2 linked regions of the Styela clava genome follow. The protein of the gene in region 1 purifies or fractionates together with the protein of each later gene. This does not show direct contact. Links are inferred from orthologs where the notes say so. Each region holds a gene or a part of one and is shown on either strand. Other genes may lie near its edges.

What was found.
Region 2: the proteins of syntaxin-5-like (region 1) and Golgi SNAP receptor complex member 1-like purify together in Homo sapiens (affinity purification with western blotting; 3 studies listed by BioGRID, with this or other methods). This does not show direct contact. The link is inferred for Styela clava from reciprocal best matches to the Homo sapiens genes STX5 and GOSR1.

Annotation. Positions count from the first base shown.
Region 1 is NC_135253.1:7,448,623-7,456,454, forward strand, and holds the start of syntaxin-5-like, read right to left. Parts: upstream 3,020-7,832; 5' UTR 2,869-3,019; coding exon 2,820-2,868; intron 2,020-2,819; coding exon 1,817-2,019; intron 1,566-1,816; coding exon 1,492-1,565; intron 1,073-1,491; coding exon 1,017-1,072; intron 761-1,016; coding exon 576-760; intron 483-575; coding exon 338-482; intron 207-337; coding exon 91-206; intron 1-90. Other genes in the region: GTP cyclohydrolase 1 feedback regulatory protein-like, read right to left, coding at 6,160-6,292, 6,679-6,773, 7,307-7,342. UniProt on the Homo sapiens protein: Mediates endoplasmic reticulum to Golgi transport.
Region 2 is NC_135255.1:20,539,337-20,545,863, forward strand, and holds Golgi SNAP receptor complex member 1-like, read right to left. Parts: upstream 2,492-6,527; 5' UTR 1,622-2,491; coding exon 911-1,621; 3' UTR 524-910; downstream 1-523. Other genes in the region: coiled-coil domain-containing protein 27-like, read right to left, coding at 3,608-5,323. UniProt on the Homo sapiens protein: Involved in transport from the ER to the Golgi apparatus as well as in intra-Golgi transport. It belongs to a super-family of proteins called t-SNAREs or soluble NSF (N-ethylmaleimide-sensitive factor) attachment protein receptor.

The sequences.
Region 1 (7,832 bases):
GCACATGTTCTTGGTTGAAAGATTGGAAAACCAAAAGAAACAGCTTAATTAATGTGAAACGTACATATATCAATTCATATTTTAACATACTTGTTGATCAAGCAGTTGCATTGTATCTTGTGAAGTTGATGGCGATGAACCATCCATTGATATTGAAACATCTCCAGAAGAATTCCTTTGTTCATCCATTATTAAAACTGAACCTCCTAAAACAACACAGTCATGGTAATAACAATACGAAATATAGAGTGCTGTTGAAATAAACAGGTAGGTCTGTTTCTATACCTAAAAGTGCCATATATATCCATCAAAACAAATTTTGTAATTGTCAACTTACGATTCCCCTGCATAGCAGATGGCGGCATACTTGATGATAAATTAGTAGTACTGAACTGATCTTTACGCAATTTCTGTTGCTTCATATTTTCACGTCGAACTTCAAGGACAGATTTGAAATTATCAGACATTGAAGCAAGTTTGGACTGAAATGAATAATATTTAATTTCAGCTATCTTGTTTCATATAGCTACAACAATAACGTTGAAAAATTTCAATAAAATTGACATAAAACTCACCCTTAATGTGCGAACAATAGATGACGAATGTTTTTGAATATCTTTATGGCCACTAGACCTTGCAGAAACTACCTGCTCCAGTTGAGCAATTTGTTTCTTCAACGAAGTGATGTCTTGTTTAATAATATATGTCAACTCCTGGATTTCAACAGGTCGATCATCGAACAGTGAACGTTTTTTACATACTATAAAAAAGAAGTAACCGATGAGAAATATTTTTTATCAAGTCTCATAACGACTATATGAAAATATATCATATAAACAAAAATCCAATTACTATTTTTCAAAAAATAAGAATTTGAGTAAAATAAAAAATTCGGCAATAGTGATTATGATGAAGTAGTCAACTAAAATAAAAACAAATCAAAAGATATGCATAACATAATAACATAATATGACTTTTGATTTACCAGACACAATCAGTATAAATTTCATACTTACACAAAGTTAGTTTTTCTAATTTTTCATATGTCTTACTTATATCTCTGCCAATTCGCCTGAATAAAAATATGCAATATGTATTTCTGCCACTTACTTGACGACAATTATTAAATCAATTAAATAACTGTGCTCTATGCATATTCATTGCTTTCATCAACAGTTAATTTATAACTTAAATGGGGTATATATTATATATATATAACAATTCAACAAATCTAATTCCACAATAAAACAAATAGAGAAGCATTAAACTGAAAAACAAATAGTTAGTGAAGTACTGCAAAGTATAGAACAGCATTGAATGCTGCAAAGTAAAGAACAGCATTGACACTTCTGATATAATGTAATTTAATTTTTTCTCCAAGGAAAAAGTTGTCTGAAATTACTTTATTGCAGTATACTAGAAATATTCAGAGTATTTCGAAATCAAAAATCATATATATTGAAAAGTGCGTTAAGTACATATTATGCTTACTTGGCAAATGTAGAAAATTCACTTCTATTTTTCAGAGCATTGTTTTGTGCTTTATGTGGAACCCCACCATTAGACTGAAAATACAATAACGTACATAGAATTCATAAAAATATGTACACATAGAGCAAATATGGGTCAAGGTACAACACAGCTCTGTCACATTTAACAAAATTTGAATGTATGGCAATATGATCCTCTGCCAAACTGCGAAATAACGAGTCAATGTCTTATACCATCACATGACATTCTATATTAGGCAAATATTAATTTGATATGGAAATTCCTCATGATTTTCAAGTAAATTTAATATTTGGTTCTTGAATACCTGTCTCGATTTTAATGACTTCACAACAGATTGAAATTCTACAGTCCGGTCGCGGCACGCGGAATTCATGCTTGTCATTAAATCTGCTGATTGGCTTGAATTGTCTTCTTCCAATTGACCAGAAGAAACCTCGTTACTTTCAGTTCCGTTGAAAAGTATTCTCGTTGATGAGAGTGAAGGAAGTTGTGAAAAAGACCAACCACCTGTGAATATAATGGATTTCTGTACAACTGTACAGTACTTTTCGATATGTCAGAATTTGCAACGCAAGCTGATTCGTCAAATAAAGTTCTTCTATATTGGTCATATGGTCAATGCAACCGCCATGATCAAAGTTTCAGTCAGTTGGGATATCATCATACAAACAGCTGGTACAAAAATTAAGAACACATCAATACTGCAATACAAGTGTATAGTCTTTTCGAAATAGTGTTCTTTACACAGATTTGTCAATCCATCTCTCTGTATTGCAATCAGGCAGTAGAATAGTGTCTTGTTTCTTAGCTACATAGCAGTTCCACAATAAAAAATCAGCAACAAGTTTAATACAGCTCTGATAATACTGTAATAACAGAATAACCAAACAACAAATGCTCTAGTTTTCAGCAGCTTTGTCAATAAGTGACAAAGTGTTTGGCGCTATTAATGAAAAAACTGAAGAATGAGCTTCGATAAAACTTTTTGATTATCTTAACTGCCATATGCTAATCAATTAAACATTTCAGCTTTATTAATTTTTAATTAAATTAATAAATACAGAAATATAATTTAATCCAGTACCGGTAATCCAGTAATCACAGAAGTTCAAGCAGATATTTGAAAGAATACGGTATTATTTATCTGAGTGGTACCCAGACCGTGGCATTCAGAGTGTATAAAGGTATAGTTCAGAAAGGTCTGAAGGTAGTTTCAAATAAACGCGAATTACGGTACGGTACGGTACGGTACCGGTACCGGTAGTGAATTAACTGAAGCCATTTACAGATTTCACTACAGCACTAACCTGAAGGTGAGCTTTTTTCATGAGATCCGATTCTTCGCCTGGTAATCATCTAGTCATATGACTTCCAATAAAACATGGGATACAGTTTCTAAGACTCGAAGACAAATTTGCGTAAATCCTACGATAAAAAGTTCTGTACCGTAACACAGAAGCAACCTATTGTATAAAAGCTGACGAGGTGTCTTTTCTCATTTTCATGCATGGCCGATTTCCACGCAAGTTGATTAACGTCACTGTCTGTAGTGCACGGAAACAAGAAGGAAGATGACAGAAAACCCAATTCATTAAAATGAATGAAAAGGTAAATACTGTAAATTGCTTACTACCTATTATATATAATAGGTATATATATATTCAATTGTTCGAACATGGATTAACTCCCGGAACAACTGCCTGATAAAAATAGAAATGCCTAGTTGGTGGTTGATAGGATTTACATAGGCTATTTATTCCGTGAAGGGGAAAAGTCGATAAGACGGCTTGCTCATATTGCGAACCGCGGCTTCTCTTCTGTTTCCCAGTCCTCATTGGGTATGATTTTGCCTGTTATCTTTGACTCGGTGGTTAATAATACCTATGCTATTATCCATTATTGTAATTAGGTGATCAGTCGAGCTATATTTGGATTCTCCCTACCTTTTAATTTCCTGTAGTGTTATATACTGTGCCCTGTATGTACACAGAGATTTTCTGATTTGCTGTATAGTTAAAATAATGGCCAACATGTGAATGCTTAGTGTGGTTTGATCGACATCAAATGTTTTTGCATGGCTTGTGAACAATCTCTTGTGTCCCAACTACAATCTCCTCTTTCTCAGGTCTTTCAACTAGTAGTCTAATGATAAATTATTAATATTGGTCAATATTTATTCAAATCAACAATATCTTCTCAAAAATGTAGGGTAGTTTTCTATTGTTTCCTTATTTGCAATCATTGAATATTGTACTCGCAGATATATTTTTCGTTTTTCATAACGTCGTGATGATCGATTTAAAAGGTCGCTAATTCAACATAAAATGTGTATACCACTATACATTAACAATATTGCAGACTGATGGATCATCTTTGATGAACTTGAACTGACCCCAGTGATCAACAACCTCAATTAAATTTCCTTGCCTATAATCCATGACCTTAAAAAATCTCACTTGAACCTTTAATAACCTATATATTGCTGTAACCGATTTTCCTATCTCGATATCATACTGCCTTAAAATTAATTTTAATTATAATTACCGGTACTTTTATTGATTAATAGTATTTAAAGTGATTTGGACGTTAGTTTGGCTTTCAATTTGGTGAGGCTTAGCCCATCCCTTCATGCATCCAACTTAAAATTCTGATTGGGCAATTTGGCATTAGGTGACTCCAAATATAATCAGCTTGACGATATCTTTTGAGGAATTTTTTTTTATCCACAATGTATAACTCATGTTGGCAAGCCTCATAAAATTATTATTATAGTTTGGCAAAAAAAAAATTTTCATGATTTTCATTTAGTTATTTCGTTTGTATATTTTTCTTTTTTACTGAGTAATTCACTAATACTTTTGGGTGAGCGAACACGTGCTATTTCCTTTATCAATACCTTTTCTTTAAAATTTGTACGTTCCAAACCTTACTAGAGGTTTTGTTTGCTTTCCCAATTCTATAATAAGTTAATAATAATAAGTTTTTATCAATTACATTATCGTCTATTATGCTGATTATGGAGTCGAAATAAACTCATACTTACCTGCGAACCCACGCATGTGTATTGCTGACGAGAGATTTGCATTGAAACATTGAATATATTAATTTTTGAATCGCATCTGCACAACAAACATTTTGGGGACATCGGACAATCACTTAAAATGAAATTATCATATCCAGTGCCAACATGTTTATTAAATGTAAGACAGAGAAACGGAGGCAGTGACTACGGGATGCGAGCATCGATACCTTAACAAGCAAAGTCAGCAATGATGCAAAGGTGATGAACTTCTAGTGCTTTGTGTATTGACCATAAGTTCTCACAATAATGTAAAAAAATATGTAAAAGGCTAGCATAAGTTTTTGCTGGTTCTTGGTTTATATGTAGCTCCTCGTATATATTTGTTGGTTGGACGTCATTTGGTTAACTGTAAAGTTCTTTGTGGCCACTAGGACCAAAATCGCGTCAGATCTAAACCTGGTAATTCGTCAGTGCCAATATCGATTTCATCGCATCTCTCGTCTGGTAATCAGTTCGTGTCAACAGTTAGCGCAACTAACCTATGCCTCGCGCTAATTTTAGGGTTAGTCCATTAAATGTACCCAATATAAATTACCACCTTGTATAATTTTATAATGATAACTGAATGAATTCGCTACTCGCAAAGTTAATTTTACGACCGACCATCATTGGCAAATGCTCAGGATTACAAGGATTGCCAAGAAAAATAGCAGCTAATCACTTAATGTTATGATTCGCGTATTTTGGCACAGGTCCCGTCACATAACTTCTACTTGTTTTTTAACTCTTCACCACTTTCGCTCATCAAAATTATTTATACCTTCACAAGTAAGCTTCGCCCATGAATTTTATTTTCTCGAGTTTATTTATGGCATTTATTTTTTTCAGTATGATTGTCGCGATGTTTTTTCCACTTGTGTGGGTGAATGGGCATAAATGCCGGCCGGTTACAGCGTTCGCTATAAACCTTTCTGGAGGTTTTTCCCATTTGCCCCGTTGTCTGTGTTTTTATTTTTCCATTAGTGTTCGGTGTTGCAGACGAAAAATCGAGATAAAATTGTATTGTAATTCATTTCTCACCACAAAATCTTAGTTTTTGATTATTATTCTCATTTCCGACCGCCATCAATGGGTTTATATATATACGAAATACCTCAGTGAATAATTAGTTTATCCACTTGTAATCGGTACTTCAGACAAAGCTTTCTGCGCCATGACCACTGTTTTCGATCGTACATACCTTCACAATCACGTATTGTTCATTTACGAAATTCTGTTCACACCACCATGACACAAGCCCATATATATATGCAAAAGCCACACCTTTCACACCAATTCATAAGACTACTCATTTTACCACTTTTTTTGTTGCACATAACATCATATATTACAATTGCACATTTAAAAATGAATGATTGAATCAGTACCACACAATCCAAATATTTTTGACAAATAAAACAATTTTAATCAAAGCCATTTACTGATATCTCCGAGAGAAATGCATACATATGTAACAGTTGATGGCATAAATTAATTGATTGTAAGTAAACCGAAATACAGCCACTCACAGCTAATCAAATTAGACAGCATGATCAAGTTATCTATCCCCCAAACATTGAAATTTATCACTCAGAAATTGGCTTATGTAATGTCCAAACAATAGTTTGTCCAATGCCGCTTGTATTTATTACAGAATATCCCAACTTTTCCAATTTGTTCAATACAATTCGAGGAGGGTCAGAGACTGTGTATTCTTTGCTAAAACAATTCAAAACAATAAAACATTAAAAAATGTGGTATGTTGCATGTAACATGGCATAAAGAATCAAGACAAACAGGTTGCAACTAAACAGAATGCAAGTTGTTGGTAACCTATGCGATGGCACAAAATAGTATATTATTCTACTATTCTATCCAGTGGGATTACCAGTAGCATTATCTTCTGTATTAACTCAGATCCAATTTTGCAAGTTAGCAAACAACATCACTGTGACATACATATCAAAATTTTTTTTACTGCAGTATCAGAAAAATTCAAAGAATATAAAACTAGCATGGAACAAATAACTATCCATTCTGACAGACAGTTTCTCATTGAATAAAAAAGGTACAAATCGAAAACATCCATAACAAGATTAGCTCACAAAGGACATCCTTTCTGTTGCCCCAACACAGCACCTATCTTCGTCATCAAGTCTGGATCAGACTGTTCATCTCCAACAATTGTCGGTCCAATTTCCTAAAACAACCAAGAAGTGAGATTTATTGATTTTAATTAGACTAAAGTTAACTATTATTCATATCTAACACAAGAAATTAAATATATTTTGCTTAACCATGTCATTAATCAAGACAAGAAATAAAAGAATTCAACAACAATTTCTCAGATTTAGGTTTGCATAATCACACAACAGACCATAAAACTGTATTTCCCAAACACAAAATATTGTTTAAGTGCAATTGAACCCACTATACCCTTAGATGCCTGACTGGCTTCTAATGCCTAGTTCATAATTGAAATAAATTTTTATTTTTTCAAATTTTTGTGGAAAAGTTAATGTTGTTTATATGCGTCTTAAACTAATATTGTGGGATTTATTTTTCATTTTGATTAAGACTAAATCATATTCTAAATTGGGCAAAGAAATCATATTTTCAAAATTTCTACTGAAACTGTTTTTTTCCTGGATTTTATTTCATATTTCAGTATCAGGAGATTTTATACAATACGATAAGTGATCAAAAACATTATGGTTAATAGATGATACTTACTAATCGAACCAGTGTGCTCACTAACAAATACGGCATTTATTTCACTGCAGTCTACTACAAGTCTGCAAATGAGGGAATGTTTTTATTAGTTAAAAGTGCAGACTCATTAGGTCATGGGCCATCAGAGCCTGAGACGATTCACTGAGCTCGGTCTCACTGGCAGAGTGGTTGGTGGTTAGTTGAATGCGAGTCTAGGGGTCTGAGTCATTTCATTTACTGATTTAGATGACTAGAGTCTTTGGTAAAAGATTCTCATGTTACGGGGTTATTATGTACAAAAGCGAGGAAGCTAACAAGTCAGCAAGTAGACCACACTTCTTACAGCTGTACAGTGACTTGTCAGACTGTCTAAGGACCCACCGACTCAGGCCAACCACGATTTATTACCTGGCAGCCTGGAGCAAAAAGGCATGCCTATTCTATTACAGTACCGTATTATAGAAGACTAATATATGAATATGTCAAATCCTGTACAGTACCGCACCATATACAGTAATAATATCCAGAATAGAACACCGGTAGGTAC
Region 2 (6,527 bases), on another chromosome or scaffold:
CTCAAACCATCTTATGCTGCTTTAAGGTCGGAAAAGTCTGTGAGACAGAAAGTGCGTGAATCTGATTACACTGCCTAGATTTGCAAGATCAAACCAAGAACGACCAAAAATCATTAATAATCATCTATTCTAAAATTTGAAAAAAAAATATCAATATTTCTTCGACTTCAATGTACATTTAAAGAAAATTCATAACGGGAGTCTTACCAGAATGACTGAATGTAGCTCATAAAATAGAGCGTGCTTGGCATGACAATCATTACCCATATATCCTCGCATATAAGCCAAGTTGAAAACTAAAAATGCAGCATATACATGCATAACTCTGATCGCACTATATAAAATTTAACTTATACGACTTAACACAAAATTTCACTAATTCCTTTCTGTCCCCATTTGCTTTGATAGGTGCGTACAACGTGTTATGATTTGTAGGGGCGCCTTATATGCTAATATTTATAAATTCACCATTTTAGGACTGTCGAATTATATGCGAGATCATCTTATATGCAATGACATACAGTTTATTATTCACCATATTGAAAATACTCTGTATGGCCATAACATAGAAAATAAAACAGAATTTTAGGGTGAAAGAAAACTAACACTGGTTATCAAGCAGTATCAATCATATTCCCAAGACCCAAAAATCACACCATAATAAGCCAGATATAAATAACTGGGTGGAACCGCAGGGACCCAACTTTTATTCAATAATGGCTATCTCATAGTTGCAGGCAAAAAAAAAATTCGCGGGGCGCACAATGTTTTATTGAAGGCCGCAGGTAGCACACCCCTGATTTAGCACATGCAAGTGCTTCTTATTTGTCTGCAGATCTGCAAACTCCTGAGCCCACATCCCTAGTTGTAAAAGTCAGAAATAATATTTAGAATGCTCTTCTTAAATCAGCTAATGTAACCAGTATATCAGAATGAGTATAATACAGATGGACACAACGGAAGCCATGATAAGCGAGTCCCTTTGCTTCCTCATTTTAATTCGTCGAACGAGACTATTAAGAGCGGGGAACCGATTAGCAAGGTTATTCAATCTCGTTGTCATATTTTTGAAAATTTTTCGCTGCGTTCCCAAATTTTCTTTCGTTGCCATGGCGATGTCGATTGCCTCGCTGGCAAGGCGATCAGAGTTCCTTAAATGTTCGTTTTCTTTTAGATAAAGATCGGTACGTCGACTATTAGCTCCGCTTCCGCTTTTGTAAGCGTCGATATCACGTCGAACTGATCCGATTAAATCCTCCCTTTCACGATGAGCGACGATATTGCTCTTGGTCTTGGCAAATTCATGAGTGTAGTCTTGAAGTATGTCCCTGTGTCGTTGTAGAGTATGCATTGCAGAACTTGGACCGTTAATTGCTTCGCTGTGATTGGCCATCATGTCGTTTACGCCCGTTAATTTCGCCAGAAGTTGTTCGATTTCCATCGCCATGGTTTCAAACATTCGTTCGCTGCTCGAATTCCCAAGAAGAGGTGTATGGTCGCTTGCGTGGCTGCTATAACTTGTCCCGAGTTTGCTAAACGAGACTAGTTTTAGGTCGAGTTCGTTCTCAAGTCGGCGAGCTTGTTTCCTTAGGTCCTCCCATTGGTTCGTCATTTTTCTCATCAAAAATTTCAAAAATTGTTCCGATGTAGAGACCACCAATATTCAAAATATGGAGTCACCCGGTAGAAATTCGCAAACAATAAAACAGAAGTATGATAATATCCCAATTTGTGTACTACAATAATGAAGTATACAGTCTTTTCCAGTCGTCAGCCTCACATAGGGATAAATAGCAACAGTTCCACAATCAGAATCACAGCGTTGGCTATCTTATTTCTGTAACAAGATAAATCTAAAATTCTAAAAAAATACATTTCATTATACAAACTATTTGAAATCAAATTATATGTACATCGCGCAGATTCTCAAAAAAAAGTGCAGCTATAAGTAGAATCACAATTAAAAAAAATGGTGCATTTTACGAAAACTTTTCGCTAACCAGAATGCCTAAAAAATTTAATTACCATATATCCTCCCATATAAGCCAAGATAACTAAAAAAAAAGTTGCCAAACTTACGGGGCGGCTTATACGACCATAGCTCTGATCGCACTAAAGCAACCTTTGCTGTGATAGGTGCGTGCAGCGTGTTATGATTTAAAGGGCCAGTTTTAATGTGAATTTTGATGATTCAACCACTTTAGGGGGCCGGCTTATATTCGAGGATATATGGGTAGTAACATAAGTATAAAAACTCAAAATTTTCACCCAAAATATCAAATTTTATATGTAACACTCCCCCAGCTTATAATAACTCATTAGGAACAATTTAGTGACAAGAAAATTCAATTTTCACAAAATACATTCAAGTTTTCAAGTAATATACCAACTAACAGTGGACGGCTACAAATCACAGTGAAATGTGTCCAACCAGCAATGCATACTAACTACCTTTGATGTTATTATTTTTGAACTTGATGGCAAAATGCATTGAAATAAACCACAAAATCAATGAAGTATAACTTTAACAGAATAGTCCCATTTGAACCGGGTGGGTAAAATTCTGACTGCCCGCCTCATTGGTTAAACCCAAGGAGCAATTGAGCATATATTGACAAAATCATCCTATTTAGAACAGATGGATAAAGTTCTGACTGCCATGCCTCATTACTTGAACCTTAAAAGCAATGGAGCATGACTTTGACAGAATATGCCTAATTGAAACAAAGTAATAAAATTCTGACTGTCATGCTTCATTAGTTAAACACAAGATAGCATATATTATTGACACAATAATCCTATGTAGGATAAAATTCTCACTGCAATGCTTTGTTACTTGAACCCAAACAGCAATGAAAGATATATAGACAGAACATTCTATGGGAATAGCCATAGCTAGAAAGTTGATTATCTGATTCTGGTTCCATGGACTTGGATATATGATAAAAAGTGAAACGCCAATATTTTCACAATGTTGTTAAAAGGCACCCTTGCTTCAATCAAAAAAATATGTTACTAAACTCTACCATAAAAATCATTATTAAATTAATTATCATAAAATTATTCAACAGTGGACATTGGAACTACTACAGTGGCTAAATTAGAAAAAAATAAAATTGATTTGGGGTAATAAATACAGTGATTCAACAGTCTTTTATTACAATTAGGATTCTGCTACTACCATAAATTTGTACATGAAATGAGGTGTAAAACCTATATCTAATATGATATAAATACAGGGCGTTCATAAAGTCTACATCATTACAATTATAAAGTCTGGTCTCAAGATTCGTTTATTTTAATCAGCGTTTATTTAAATTTCTTACATCATTCAATACACCTGTAGAGGAAAACAAACTATAATATAGTATCAATAAATTTCTATTCACACAATTTCTAAATTTTGTTATGAAGTCAGTTCTCAATATACCTTAACCAGGTTTGTTTTATCCGAATCAATGCTTGTTCATTTATTAATTAATACATAATGGCCATTAAATATTTATGGTATAGATAAATTACCTTACAATTTGAGAAAAAATTTAGAACTTTATGAATACCCTGTATAATATGTGATATAAAAAAATTAAAATTGTGCAAAAAATAACTATCTGTGCTTCGGAGATTTTCTTCCTCCTTTCCCAGATTTTCGTTCTTGCTGACTCGTTGCGGTAGTAGCGCTACTTTCTTCGATTTTTTCTTCTTCCAAAGTTGCGTCGAGCTCGACTAATAACGGTGGAAAATCTGCGTTCGTTTCTTCTAATAACTTATGAAATTCACTTCTATCCTCGATTATCTTTTTCACAGCGTTAAAAACTACAATGTCGCTAATCGCTGTGCTTGGATGAGCCGCTCCAGGTGTGATAAATACAGCTTGAATAATTCGAGAGCGAAGACGTTCGAATCTTGTCGACATTTGCTCAGCGGAAACTCGAGATAATTGCTCCAGACGTCGCATATCTTCCAAATCACGACATAGGTGTTTGATCTCCTCCGACTGTTTTTTATCTAGCTCGCCACCTTTTTTAATTTTTTTGTGACTCTCCCTAATTTCTTTGCTCTGTTTGTCAGACTTTTCCTTCAATTTGTCAGCTTTTTGTTGAATCTCATTAAAAGCGTTCTTCAGGATTGTCAACTCATGTTCAGTTTCAGCATTCATATCGCTGTGTTTTCTTCTTTCCCGCAAGTCAGAGAACTTTTTCGACATTGTCCTAGCCTCTGCTAAAGCTTCGTTCATCTGAAATTCGGCTTTCTCAACTTGGGATGTCAATTTCATTACTTTGTTTTCAGTGCTTTCTAAATCACGCTGTAAAGCGTTTATGAAGCCGTCATTCATAACCAATTCTTTTTGCGACGTTTCAAGACGATCTTGCAACTCAGAAATTATTTGCTCTCTTTTAACAAGCTCTTCTCTCATAGCCATGACCTCGTCTTCAGGGGTTAATTTCTCGGGAGCCATCTTGTCGAATTGTTCTCGTAAAGCGTCTGCATCAGCATTAGCGCTTCGTAACGACTCGCGAACACTTTCGACTTTTTCGTCATATTCTTGTGGATTTTTTTGGAAAGAACCCTCTGGTTCAGAAATTGTTGTGCTTGTTTCGTCAACATAAATCAAAGGCTTTTTTGCTCCACTAGATGGCGTACTTGAGCGAGATTTCTGCTGCGATTCTCTTTCTAAGAATTCAATTTTTTCTTGGAATTGAGAAATAATCTTATCATTCTTTTTGCATTCTTCTTCAAATGGTCCAAGACGAACAATTTCGTCCGTCAAAATTTGCGTTCTCTTACGCAGATCCGCCACAATTGCCTCTAATTCCGTTTCTTGAGTCGTTTTTATGACAACATTTTGTGCCAACTGTCTTCTAAGGTCAAATATTTCGTTATCTTTTTGTTTAGAATCAATTTCGAAAGCACTCAAGCGGTTAATCTCATCGCCCATTTGTAGAAGGCGTTCTTCTTTTTCTCTTAGCATAGCCATGTACCAGGGTTGTTCTTTTTGTAACGTCTCCTGGACTTCCGGTTCAACCGTTTTTGGCCGTTCTTGCCGGTTAACAGGGCTTCCACTTTCGAGAATTTCACGAGATGACAATTTAACATGACCCTCTGAACCATATCTGGTTGTCATTCGCATATTTCTCGGCGCCGATTTCGACCTCTCATTTATGGCTAAAGGAGAAATCGGTAAAATCTGATCTCTCGGGTTACCAGGTGCCGTATCAGGTCGTAAACTAAAATTATCCTCGCCGAAGCCGCTAGAAGATCTGCTGGTCATATTTTCGTAAATACTAGAGCCTTTGCGAGAAGTTTGGATAGAATGGCTCATCTTCTAACTGTGGTGCTTTTAATCCCACATGATAGCGAATATCTCAACAAAAAATACACTTTCTGACTTTGGAAAGAACTAATTCACCAGCGAGGCAGCAACACATCACCATACGCAAAATCAACAGCGTTTCCAAGGCGAGGGGTGATTGGAGTCGTCGGACTGACAGGTGGTCCTAGTTCGCCTTTTCCTGGGGATAAATAATCAGTATCAGTTTCGAACCCAGGCAGAGCGACCAGAGGTGCGATGTCAAGCGTATTCCCATTTCGTACAAATTCTAAAGCAGTGATTTCTAACGGCCGGTCTGCGAAGTTTTTTTGTCGGTTCGCGAGAAATGCTGTTGTTTTTCTGCCAAACCGGAGACGCGTGCTTTTTCTGTTCTACATACTTTTAGTGATTAACATGACCATCCAAATATAAGGTGATTCATACTTCTTCGCCATGACATTCAGTAAGATATGAACCTATTGCGACCCTGCAGGTGGTCAAAAGACGTGCAACAAAAGCATGGGCCGCTGAGATCTTTTCCAGGTGAGGCACAGCAGGATTTGAGCTTGGTGACGGTTACGTTAACGACGACTTTGTCATAATGTAATTTTTTTTTGAGGCGTCGAATAACCGCAGATATATTAATATGATGAACCCGACACATTGGACGAAAAAGAGAAAAAAAAACTTGATTGAAGTTGTGATTCTACTTTACAGTCCAATAATATGAAAATATATGTTATTGTTTTTCTGTTCCAATCATATCAAATTTTTCCGTTCCGCGATACATTATTATGCATAGTCATAAATTATTCCTGCTACAAAGTGCAATCGTGTCGTATGTATAATCAATTATGTTTATTAAATGTGTTTTTATCACAAAAAGGAGATTAAAGTCGATAATACATCCCGAATGAGATGGTTGACTTTCGTTTCCTTACACCCGCGATCTCCGCCTTATGATTTCAACATGGTTAGCCAGACCAATAAGCATGCTCATTGGCCAGAGCTATCAGTCACTAGTCCATACTGAACCATTATATTATATATACGCTTTGTACTGAACTAAGCTTGTTTCTGAAATTTTCTGACTAATATATATGCCTTATCTAAGAGGGTAGGCGTGGTCATTTTCAAGAGTATTCCATACGGATCTTTTAGACTTGATTCCCATAAACCAGGGGTTCCCAAACCTATTTAGTCGCGGGCCAAAATT